3 linked regions of the Neurospora crassa OR74A genome follow. The protein of the gene in region 3 binds, or shares a complex with, the protein of the main gene of each other region. Links are inferred from orthologs where the notes say so. Each region holds a gene or a part of one and is shown on either strand. Other genes may lie near its edges.

The links.
Region 1: NCU01785 (region 3) and NCU00570 share a complex: the UniProt entries of both Schizosaccharomyces pombe proteins name them as parts of the RNA polymerase III (Pol III) complex. The link is inferred for Neurospora crassa OR74A from reciprocal best matches to the Schizosaccharomyces pombe genes rpc17 and rpc11.
Region 2: NCU01785 (region 3) and NCU00727 share a complex: the UniProt entries of both Schizosaccharomyces pombe proteins name them as parts of the RNA polymerase III (Pol III) complex. The link is inferred for Neurospora crassa OR74A from reciprocal best matches to the Schizosaccharomyces pombe genes rpc17 and rpc34.

What each region holds. Positions count from the first base shown.
Region 1 is NC_026501.1:7,970,183-7,972,933, forward strand, and holds NCU00570 (DNA-directed RNA polymerase III polypeptide), read left to right. Parts: upstream 1-1,228; 5' UTR 1,229-1,467; coding exon 1,468-1,480; intron 1,481-1,536; coding exon 1,537-1,823; exon of another isoform or gene 1,824-1,879; coding exon 1,880-1,918; 3' UTR 1,919-2,099; downstream 2,100-2,751. Other genes in the region: NCU00571 (hypothetical protein), read right to left, coding at 1-313, 461-487; NCU00569 (SOH1 family protein), read right to left, coding at 2,120-2,407, 2,462-2,578. UniProt on the Schizosaccharomyces pombe protein: DNA-dependent RNA polymerase catalyzes the transcription of DNA into RNA using the four ribonucleoside triphosphates as substrates. Component of RNA polymerase III which synthesizes small RNAs, such as 5S rRNA and tRNAs.
Region 2 is NC_026501.1:7,401,081-7,404,686, forward strand, and holds NCU00727 (hypothetical protein), read left to right. Parts: upstream 1-1,249; 5' UTR 1,250-1,442; coding exon 1,443-1,684; intron 1,685-1,759; coding exon 1,760-2,750; 3' UTR 2,751-2,959; downstream 2,960-3,606. Other genes in the region: NCU00728 (hypothetical protein), read left to right, coding at 1-277; csr-1 (peptidyl-prolyl cis-trans isomerase), read right to left, coding at 3,150-3,443, 3,510-3,606. UniProt on the Schizosaccharomyces pombe protein: DNA-dependent RNA polymerase catalyzes the transcription of DNA into RNA using the four ribonucleoside triphosphates as substrates. Specific peripheric component of RNA polymerase III which synthesizes small RNAs, such as 5S rRNA and tRNAs.
Region 3 is NC_026502.1:2,446,614-2,450,399, forward strand, and holds NCU01785 (hypothetical protein), read left to right. Parts: upstream 1-1,482; 5' UTR 1,483-1,833; coding exon 1,834-1,965; intron 1,966-2,021; coding exon 2,022-2,363; 3' UTR 2,364-2,394; coding exon of another isoform or gene 2,395-2,676; 3' UTR 2,677-2,736; coding exon of another isoform or gene 2,737-2,962; 3' UTR 2,963-3,069; coding exon of another isoform or gene 3,070-3,137; 3' UTR 3,138-3,277; downstream 3,278-3,786. Other genes in the region: NCU01786 (ribose-phosphate pyrophosphokinase II), read right to left, coding at 1-156; NCU16559 (hypothetical protein), read right to left, coding at 2,395-2,676, 2,737-2,962, 3,070-3,137; NCU01784 (pseudouridylate synthase 3), read left to right, coding at 3,691-3,786. UniProt on the Schizosaccharomyces pombe protein: DNA-dependent RNA polymerase catalyzes the transcription of DNA into RNA using the four ribonucleoside triphosphates as substrates. Specific peripheric component of RNA polymerase III which synthesizes small RNAs, such as 5S rRNA and tRNAs.

The sequences.
Region 1 (2,751 bases), on a different chromosome or scaffold from region 3:
CCAGCTCGTTGCCGAACTCGCGCTGCGCTTCCGGCTCGCTGTTGATCCATCGGACTGCGCTGTGCAGCGGGGTGTCGCCCTCGAGTCGGTTGACGGGATCGCATTCAAAGCCTGGTTGGTCGAGGAGCATGTCGATTATCTCGTAGTTGCCACGGAGCGCGGCTTCGTGGTAGAGGTGGTTGCCCATCACGGTGGTCGTGTTGTTCAAGAGGGAGGAGATTTCTTCGTCGGATTTGTCGGCGAGAATTTCCGAGAGGAGGTCAGTGTTGTTACGCCGGCAAGCTTCAATGAGCTGCTCGGAGATGGAGGCACCCTGTATTTTGGGGGGTGAAAGAAGGAAGGGTTAGCTGGGGTTGTCTGTAGTATAGCTGTTTGCGCGAGAGGGCGTAGGGCGGGTGAAACGGGGGATAGAAGAGAGAGGGTGTTAGTTGGGGGTAGAGGACGCTTGTGTGGTACGAACCTCGTGTTCTTCGTCCTTTCCGGCCATGGTTACTGGTAGGTCACTTGTGGTTGTCTCGGAAACGGCGGGTGATGTTTCTTGGTTGTAGGAAGAAGCACAAGTAGCGAAAACGACGGTGAAAGCGAAGAGGGATGACGGCGAGAGTTGTCCAAAGTAGAGAGGTAAGATTGGCCTGGAATTGCTAATTACGAGCGGGAATCGTGGAAATGGGTCGGCGGGGGAGAGTGGATGTACGGTATGGAAGTGGCCAGGCTGTCGAATCAGGTAATCGGTCGATTCCTATAAAAGGATCGGGATCGCGTAACGCTCAATGAGGGATCTTCGGGGTAATAAGAGGGCGGCGAACGACTGTTTGTAGGGTACAGTGTACTGTATTCTATGAGATATCTCCAGTCGTGGTGGTGGTGGTGGTTGTATGAAGGACGGGATGGAAGCATTCCGTACCTCTACCTAACGGGCTGGTTAGGAGGTGGCAGTGGCAGTGTCGTCTTCCCTTGGTGTTACAGAATGGTCGGCTCCTTGCGGGGCCCGATCAGGACGCTGGCATTCAGATGGCATGCGCTGAGGCCCAGCTGCATGTCAGTGAGTAGGTACGTACCTACCTTAGCACAGGCACAACAGAAAGGGCCGTTGGGTCCAGGCACCGCTGACCAAGTGTGGGACAGTTGATGATGCAGATCTGACCAATGAAAATTCAAGCGCTACATTTAAGGTTTATAGAATTAACGGACCGCATCGAGCTATAACACTTTTTTTCAGGCCATCGCCCCTACACTGACTATTTACACTCTAACAACTTATATCACTACCTTAAAGCCCAGCAAGTGGTAGACATAAACACCGGTCTTGGCCAGCTGTTTTCACAAAAGGTACCAGCTTACGGCGACGCCTCTTCTCATCAGGATCGTCAACAAGACTTTTGGCAACCGCTCGACTCATCTCACTTGCTATTCATAACGGACGATAACACACAACAAACAAATCCAGTCCCTTCATCAATAGCAAACATGCCTATCGTCTGTAAGTCCAAGTCCACCCACAAAGGCTAGGACACCGGAACTAAACGCCCACCACAGTTTGCCCATTCTGCGCCAACCTCCTCATCCTCTCCCGAGCGGACACGGGTGGCAACAGGCTCGAGTGCAGAACCTGTCCTTACGAACACCCCATCGACAAGCCCATCTACTCCCGCAAGAACTTCCCGCGCAAGGAGAAGGAAGACGTGTTTGGTGGTCCAGGCGCTTGGGACAATGCACAAAAAGGCAAGGTCCAGTGTGACAGCGGAACTTGCAATGGCAACGAGGCAGCCTTCTTCCAGGTTCAAATTCGTAGTGCTGATGAACCGATGACGACGTTCTACAAGGTAAGAAGGGGATTGCAGACTGATGGGATAAAGTAAGAAGCTAACATGTCTCGTAGTGTATGACTTGCGGGCACAGGTGGAGAGACAACAACTAGAGGAAGAAGACATGTTCAGCACAGGTCTGGTCGGATCATCAATACATGGTATTGGGGGCATTGCTTGGCGTTGGGTTTTTCTTTTGTTTTTGTGTAGTTGCATGTGAGGTATTCTTCATCAGAATCAACTTGTGCGGTACTGGCCTGCCAGAGGCTACTTCCCACTCGTTTCCATCCCTGGCATCATTCTACCCGTGCAACTTATGCCGTGCTTGGAAAACTCTCTCGATGCCAGTCGATTCCGGCCTTCATGCCCTCTAGCCTGAGACGCTCGACCAGGTCTGGGCTGATGATGTCCTGCCTGAACTTTTCCTGCTGCAGCAACTCCAGGTTCTTCAAGGTAGGCCCAGGGTAGGTGATATACTTGAGGTAAGGTGGGCGGCTCCAGTACTGGAGATAGTCGAGGTAGGCGATGAAAGCAGGATTGCTGAGTAGCTTCCTGGACGCAAGATGGTTCAGGTACAGCGGGTTGCCAAGTGCTTGAACAAACTGAGTGTTCTGTTAATACCACGCACGCTGGATGATAATGTGTATGAAGCCTACCTCCAGTTCGAGTTCGAACCGTGTATATCCTCCATACTTGGGCTCGTCTGCCCCTGATCCCGGAGGCGCAGGTGGCTCCCTTGCTGAACTGTTTACTGACATGGGATCGGATGCCATGACGTAAAAAATGAGTGTTTGTTACAGTGTTCCAATCTGTGAATGAGCTGGATACCTAGGAACGTGTCTAGATGTTTGCGCCTCTTTGTCAAGTGAATGCGATGGGCAGTACAAGTAGACGTGAGCAGTGGCTGCTCTTAAATGGTCGTTTGTGTTGGACGAAAGCCTCAACG
Region 2 (3,606 bases), on a different chromosome or scaffold from region 3:
GCGCAACAATGGCGTTTACGAACCAGAGAATCGACTGTGGCTCTGCATCGTACCTCTGATCATCAGCGGCTCGGGCTGCTTGGTGTTCGGATATGGCATTGAAAAGGCAATGGGCTGGGTCAGCCTGTTCTTTGGATATGGTATGATGTCGGTAGCATTGACGGCGGTGCCGACCATCACCATGGCCTATGTCTCGGACTGTCTGCTTCCACTAAACTCGGATGCTCTTATGCTTGTCAATGGTAAGAAGCAGCATGAGTCCCTCCTGGTTGAGTAACCTTGCTAATCACGGCACGATGTCAATAGGAACAAAGCATATTGTAAGCTTCTTCTTCGCGGCGTCGGTCTTGATCTGGGTCCAGATGGTGGGTTATGTTGAGGCTTTCGGAACAACGGCAGGCGTATTTGCGCTCATAGTGGGCGGAGGTATGGCAGTGTTGATTCCCTTTGGTGCGAGAATCAGGCACCGTCAAGCAACCTGGCGTATCATCCTGTGATGAGCGAAAGTTGTAAGAAGATGAAGAGGTAGTCAAGCCCAGATTGTCGGTGGTTGGATCATGGGATACACTGCGGCAAGGAGTTCCTTCAGTCAATGCATTTATCGTCCATTGTGGGCATCGATATCCTTCGGGTTGCACGTTGAGTTTCGCAGAAGGAATTTGATGAGCAGATAGATTTAGGGTGGGGGGAAAAGGGAAATCAAGCAGGAGACAATGGGTGAGCTAGATGACGTGTACACGATGTAGTGTGGTGACTCGATCCGCGAGAGTTGCTTTGTCAAAGAAAATTGGCGGTTGGAAGGTTGAAGGATGAGAAAAATGATAAGGTTGCAGAAGACCTGCGAAACTGGGATGGCCTGCGTGGTCCCGCAAGGCTGATCAGAAAGTGGAACGTGCTCCACTGAAGAGGACGCTTACATCGAGCATTCCGTGGATTATGCAACACTTCGGATTCCGTCACGCGTAAGAAGTCAGGGAATATTTACTTTGACAATTTGATATAGAAATACAAGACTTGGCTCATCAATGCTCGCAGTTTTACTTCATGTTGATCATGACTCTTTACTTATCGGGAAGAGGACATCTGACGAATCAACTTCCTGGAACTCTGAGCAGAAGTCACCGTCTTGGCATAACATGAGTGACCAATCACAAAACGCTTTATTCTGCTCTTTCATGCAAGGCTGAGAAAGGCGGGGCATTTCTTCTGGGAAATTTCGTGATCGACCAGTGCAACTCGGTTTGGCAAACCGACCTGCAGTTGGCCATACGCCACACCTTCTCTAAATCCAATCAACAGACCCATTTCAGACTGGGCATTGACGCTCACAACCAGCCAGGGCATTGTCTTTGTCCCGTCACGAGTCCCTTTTTTTCTTCCAAATTGTTGCGTCTCGGTCACCAGAACCACCACACGAAATTCCTAATCACCACCAGCACACGATGGCCGACCGCGACAAGATCCAGATCCTCAAGGATGCGCTTTACGAGGCGGCGAGGGACCACGGTTCCGATCAGCGTCTCTTCACGCAGCGGGACCTGTTGGACATGCAGGTCATCCCCCAAGACAATATCGGGTTGCTCATGCAGGTGATCCAAATTCTCTGCGATGAGAAGCTCTTTGTCGGCAACACCACGGCATCGGGGCTGTCGTGGAGATGGCGAAGCCGGGAGGATGCAAAGAAGTGCGTTACTACCTTTCTTTTTTCTTTTTAGGACACAACCGAGCACACCAACTAACCTCCCCTTCCTCCCAAAAGGTACACCTCCCTCCCCAACTCCGAAATAATGATGGTATACGCCATGGTCGACGAAGCCGGGGCCGACGGCATCTGGAACCGGACCATCAAGAACAAGCTCAACATGGCCGACTCGCTTATGAAGCATTGCATCAAGTATCTCGAGCAAAAGGGCTACATCGCCAGCATGAAGAACGTCGAGCACCCCAACAAGAAGATGTACATCAAGGCGAACCTACGTCCCTCCGATCGCGCCACAGGTGGCCCCTGGTTTACTGAGGGCGAGCTCGACACGGCCTTCATCAACGAGCTACAGGAAATTGTGTTTGACTTTATCAAGCAGAAATCGACATATACTTCCCACGGCGGCGGTGCTGGAGTACCAGGAGTAGGAGCACAAGGAGGAGGAGCACAGCAGCGTGAAAAGAATCCCAAGAAGGGCGTGGTTCAGGGGACCATTCCCCACTCGGAGGATATTTCCAAGGGGACGAAGCGCAGCGCGGGCGAGATTTCCAACGACGACACGGCGGCACCGGCACCGGCCAAGAAGACCAGGCCCGGCAAGCCGCAATTGCTGCCTCTCCCGGCCGGTTACAAGTCGTACCCGACTGTGTCGGACATTGCAAAGTTCATCCACCACGCCGGCATCACGAATAATACGACGTTGAGCGAGGCGGATATCCAGCAGTTGGTGGATGTGCTATACTACGATGGCTTAGTAGAGCCTGTCAAGGTCAATGGGCGCAAGGGGTACCGTGTGACGCGCATCCCCAAACAGGATCCGAGGACGTGCAATCAACGACGCCTCGACCATGATCCAACCAAAGGAGGCATTGTTACCTCATTTATGGGAGTTGAGCCGAGTGCAAGTGGCCTTATGGAGGCGCCTTGTGGGCGGTGCCCTGTCTATGATATGTGCGAGGAAGGCGGACCTGTCAGCCCCAGCAACTGCGTCTATTTCAGACGGTGGCTGGATGGTGACGAGGTACAGGAACAAGTCATTTCGATCTGATCGACTCGAATGTGTTTGTGTCTCCGTTTAGAAGACGTTGCATGGTCTCTATCACAACTGCATTAACGGCGTAAAAAAAAAGAAGGCAAGGGTAATTTGGTTTCATCTAGGCGTTGGAGGTAATCTGTTTAGCATTCAATGTGTTGGCGATAACATTCACATGACCTGCAAACTGTCTAGGAAAAGACATCAGTTTACGTGATCTCATCAACCATCAGTTTGCGTAATCACATCAACCATCAAAGCGACAGTGATGACGATGCAGTGAAGAAGGGTGGGTGTGCAGCGCAGGAAATCCATTTTGATGGGCTATCTAGATATTATAGCAGCACATTCATATGAATATTATGGTACCGCGACTCCAATCCCTAAAACCCTCGACAATGTCCACAAGGGAATTTAGAGAGCGCCGCAGTCGACAATGGTGGGCTTCTTGGAGTAACGAATAGCACCGCTGCTGGAGCCAGTAGCCTCAAGGGCCTTGACGACCTTCATGGACTCATCGTCAGCGACCTCGCCGAAGACGACGTGGCGGCCATCGAGCCAGCTGGTGGGGACAGTGGTGACGAAGAACTGGGAGCCGTTGGTGTTGGGGCCGGCGTTGGCCATGGAGAGAAGACCAGGGCGGACGTGCTTCTTGGCGAAGTTCTCATCGGCGAACTTCTCGCCGTAGATGGACTTGCCACCAGTGCCCTGTTCAGAGAGGTTAGGTCTTTATTTTCCCATGTTCGATAGCTTGTTGGGCGGACATGGACTTACGTTACCACGGGTGAAGTCACCACCCTGGAGCATGAACTCGGGGATAATGCGGTGGAAAGAAGAGCCCTTGTAGCCGAAGCCGTTCTGGCCAGTGCAG
Region 3 (3,786 bases):
CTTTCCGCGCACGGAATCCTGGATTTCGCAACGACTTTCGCCAGAGGAGAACTTGGTCAGGATCCTGCTGCAGGCGGGCAGGCCAAGAATACCGCAGATGCTCTCCACCAATTCGGGGTGGGAGTTACCGCCGAGGACGACAATGTTACGGACCATCTTGCAGTCTTGATCTGGCGACCCGTCAGGATCGCACGTGCAAAGAGACGAGGGCGGAGGAGGGATCGAGACGAAGGAGGTGGCGTCTGAGAGGACGGCGGCGGCGGCGTCGGTGGTGGTCGCTGGAAGGCCGGAGGGGACAAGCCCGGAAAGAAATGAAAGCAGGGCCACGATAGCGTTGGGTAATGCGAGGCTCTTAAGCGCCACTAGCCGTAAGGCAATGGGCAAGCTGACTCCTCAGAGTGCCAGGTCGTGCTGGGCTTCGAAGGATCGTGCTCGGCTGTTTCCTCCCGGGTCTGGGAAGAAGAATTTGCGCCGGTATATTTTTTTTTCAAGACCGATTTGAGAGCCGAGCGATAGGCGAATAAGAATCCGTTCCGAGTCGATGGGCGATGGTCTAACTGGGCCAGACTTTAGCAGCACAAGTTGCGACGAGGCAGAGGATGCGAGGACCCAAACGTTATGTATAGAGTCTAGAGTCTAGAGAAGAAATAAAAGAGGAGATAGTGGGAGAGCAAAGCGAGGGAGAAAGAGGCGATCATCACTGCGAGATGATTCCGAGTAATGTGGGAGTTTGAGAAACCAGTTGATTAACAAGGGTCTGCTTGGAGCGAGGTCGGTCGTCAAAGCAGCGACATAGTAAGTGTATGTACTTGGTGTTAGTGCCACCCAAACAGGCTCACCTGGTTGGCGTTGGCGTGTGCGGTGGTGGCAGCAGTGGAATGAAGGCCTGGGCCAGGTTGTCAAGCAAGGAAGTCACAAGGAAGAGCGTCCCTCACCTCCGCTGGCACTACTGCACTGTCGCGGAGGGATCGCGGTCAAAAACCAGACACACAACAACGACGAGAACGGAACCTTCCATTGACATTGGGGGAAAAAACGGGTTTTCTGGATTAGGTGTGATGTTGATCATGGATGTACCATTGCTCCCCACGCTTGCTTGAAGTTCATAATCCCATCTTCGTCCTCTCTGCCTCGCTGATTTCCTCACTTTTGGACTAGGTTGCGAACAGAGAAGTGAAGACGTGCCTCGTTGTCAAACACTCATGACTGTTTCAGGACTTTGCCCAAATGGCTCCCGTCTCTCTCTGTGTTTGGGACTCCGTCACCGCACCGAACCCGTGCCGCGTGCGAGATTTTTTTTTTTTTTTTTCCGGGCATGTGCAATTGGAGGAATCTGGCTGCAGCGACGGCTCGACGCTCCAGGTGGGGCAAAGTGCAAACTGCGTTGTAAATGATTGGACAGGAACGCTCAATGTCCTGAGAATGCGGCTGCTGCGGTCCGTTCGCAACTTCTTGACTTCGTTACAATGGCGGGGCACGAGTGGACGGGAGTCCAATGTGGCAGGAACTGCAAGTGCAACCGCTTGTAAAATGGAACATATCACTGGCCACTGACCATTCACCGCGACGGACGGACCATCTCAAAGGCCTTCTCCTCCACCAAACCTTTGTTTTTTATCGTCATATTACCAGATCGCCAAGTCTAGAACACTGCTCCAAGAACACCACTTGTGTTGTCATTTTTGACACCAAACAAACGAGTAGCCAAACACGCTTACGCTTTCCCGAAAGCAGTCGCATTCGCATTCGCCTAGGCTACAGGTGGTCACCAGCAAGCAGTCGGCGCAAGACTTCGCTTCTCACTCAGGCAACAAGCCAACCCAAGTCGACACAATGAAGATCCTTGAAGGCCAAAGCAACCTGGTCTCAAACCATGAGGTCTATGAGCATATTCTGGAGCAACAGCAAAAGAACAGGTCCAAAAACAGGAGAGTGCCTCCCAACCAATTTACTCTCACCAAGGATGTAAGCAAGCCTGCCATCATGACGAATGTGAACATGCCCAAACTAACCTACAGCAGCTCTTGACCTATCTCCGAACCAAGCCTGGCCCATTGGCAAACCAGGACAAGACCCATCAGTACAGCACGGAAGCGTTGTATGAGCTCTTCAAGAAGCTTCGTGAGGCTAACCTCCAGAGCGATCTCTCGAAAGGCGAGATGCTCATGATCATCAACCTTCGGCCCACCAATGTTGCAGTTCTTAGCACGGTCGTTGAAGACATGTTGGAGCGCTTTACTGAGGACGAGCAGCAAAAGATCATCGATATCATCACCGAGACTCTCGGCTTTGACGAACCCACAGAGGCTGCGGAGGGAGAAGAGAACGACGAGGACGCAGCACCCTCCATTGAAAACTCTTGAAGACGTGGACATGACGACAGCTTTGGACAACTCACATGATTGTGCATCCTCCTTCGCTTTGCCCGCCCTCGGAAGTTGTCGTTTTCAGCGCCGTTGTACATATATCGTCGAACACCTCTTCCAGCAGCTCGCCAGTCACCGCAGAGCATTCCATGTACTTGTCTAACCTCATCTCTTGCGCCATGCGATACGCCTCCTGCGGGTAGATGGTACCGTTGGGATCATTCTCAGATCGCAGATCCCGCTTGAGGCCCAGCATAAGCACCGGGGTGTTGTCGCCGGTTACGCCCGCTGTCCGGACCTCTTTGTTCCACTGCGCAATATATCAGTTTGTTGAAGGATGCGGTTCACCCTGGTTAGAACCGGCGCTTACCACTCTTTGGAGGTTGATCAAACTGAGCCTCTGGCTGATATCATAGCAGAGGATGACTAGGTCGGGCCGAAGAAGTCTCCAGCTTTCTGGACTGGAAGTGTCGTAGAATTCGAGCCGATAGTCCCCGCGGCGAGCGCGAATATCAAAGATGAAAGGCTGGTCGAGGTCCCTGAGAAGGGTAATGGAATCTCTGCCTTTCAGGTTGTGACGGCCTCTGCTGATTCGCCTGGATGGGTGTTAGTGAATTGGCTTGTCTTGTCTTCTGTTCGGCTTGGTGGGCACATGTAGGATTAGATGCAGTATATAGCTGTATCATTCAGGATTATCACTAACGATAACAAGGTTGACTTTCCGCATCTCTCATCGCCAACGAACAGTATCGTGATCGTTTGTGAATCCATGACAAACAAAATGCAGGCTCGTGAAAAATGGGGGTGAAAAAAAAGAAAAAAAAATAAAGTATATATTCGAAAGAAGTGACTTTACTCGACAGTTACCGGCGAGATGCGGTTAGCACAGTCGTTCTTTTCGAGTGATCTTGTTAGCTCACACAGGAGAGCGGACTTGTTATCAACAAAACAGAAGCCCTGTTGCCTGCCGACAGGACGGGACGGGGGATACCAGAAAAGTCTCTGCCAAGACATATGTCCCCACAATATTTTTTTTTGGAGAAACTCCATGCGGGCACCCCCCCCCCCCCCCCCCCCCCAAAAGACCCCGTCGATAAGACGAATCCAAGTCTCGTGCAAGTGAGACTCTCATTGCCTTTTACCGTCTCATGAATCGAGGACCAACCCGTTATTCAAAAATTACCCTCCGGGTTTGCGCGAATTCGCTCACGAAGCTGGTATGTCTAAACCCGATAGAGTTTGCAAAACGGCTTCTAACACTAACCAACCAGAAAATAGCCTGGTTTGAGAAAGGGGAGACACTCATAAAGTTGAGGCCGAGTGCATGAACAGTCCGGGGTCCATACGGACACTCAGTCACCTTAAAGCATCTGGCAAAGCCATCGGTGTTGGTGGAACATTTTCCAAGTCAAGCATTGGA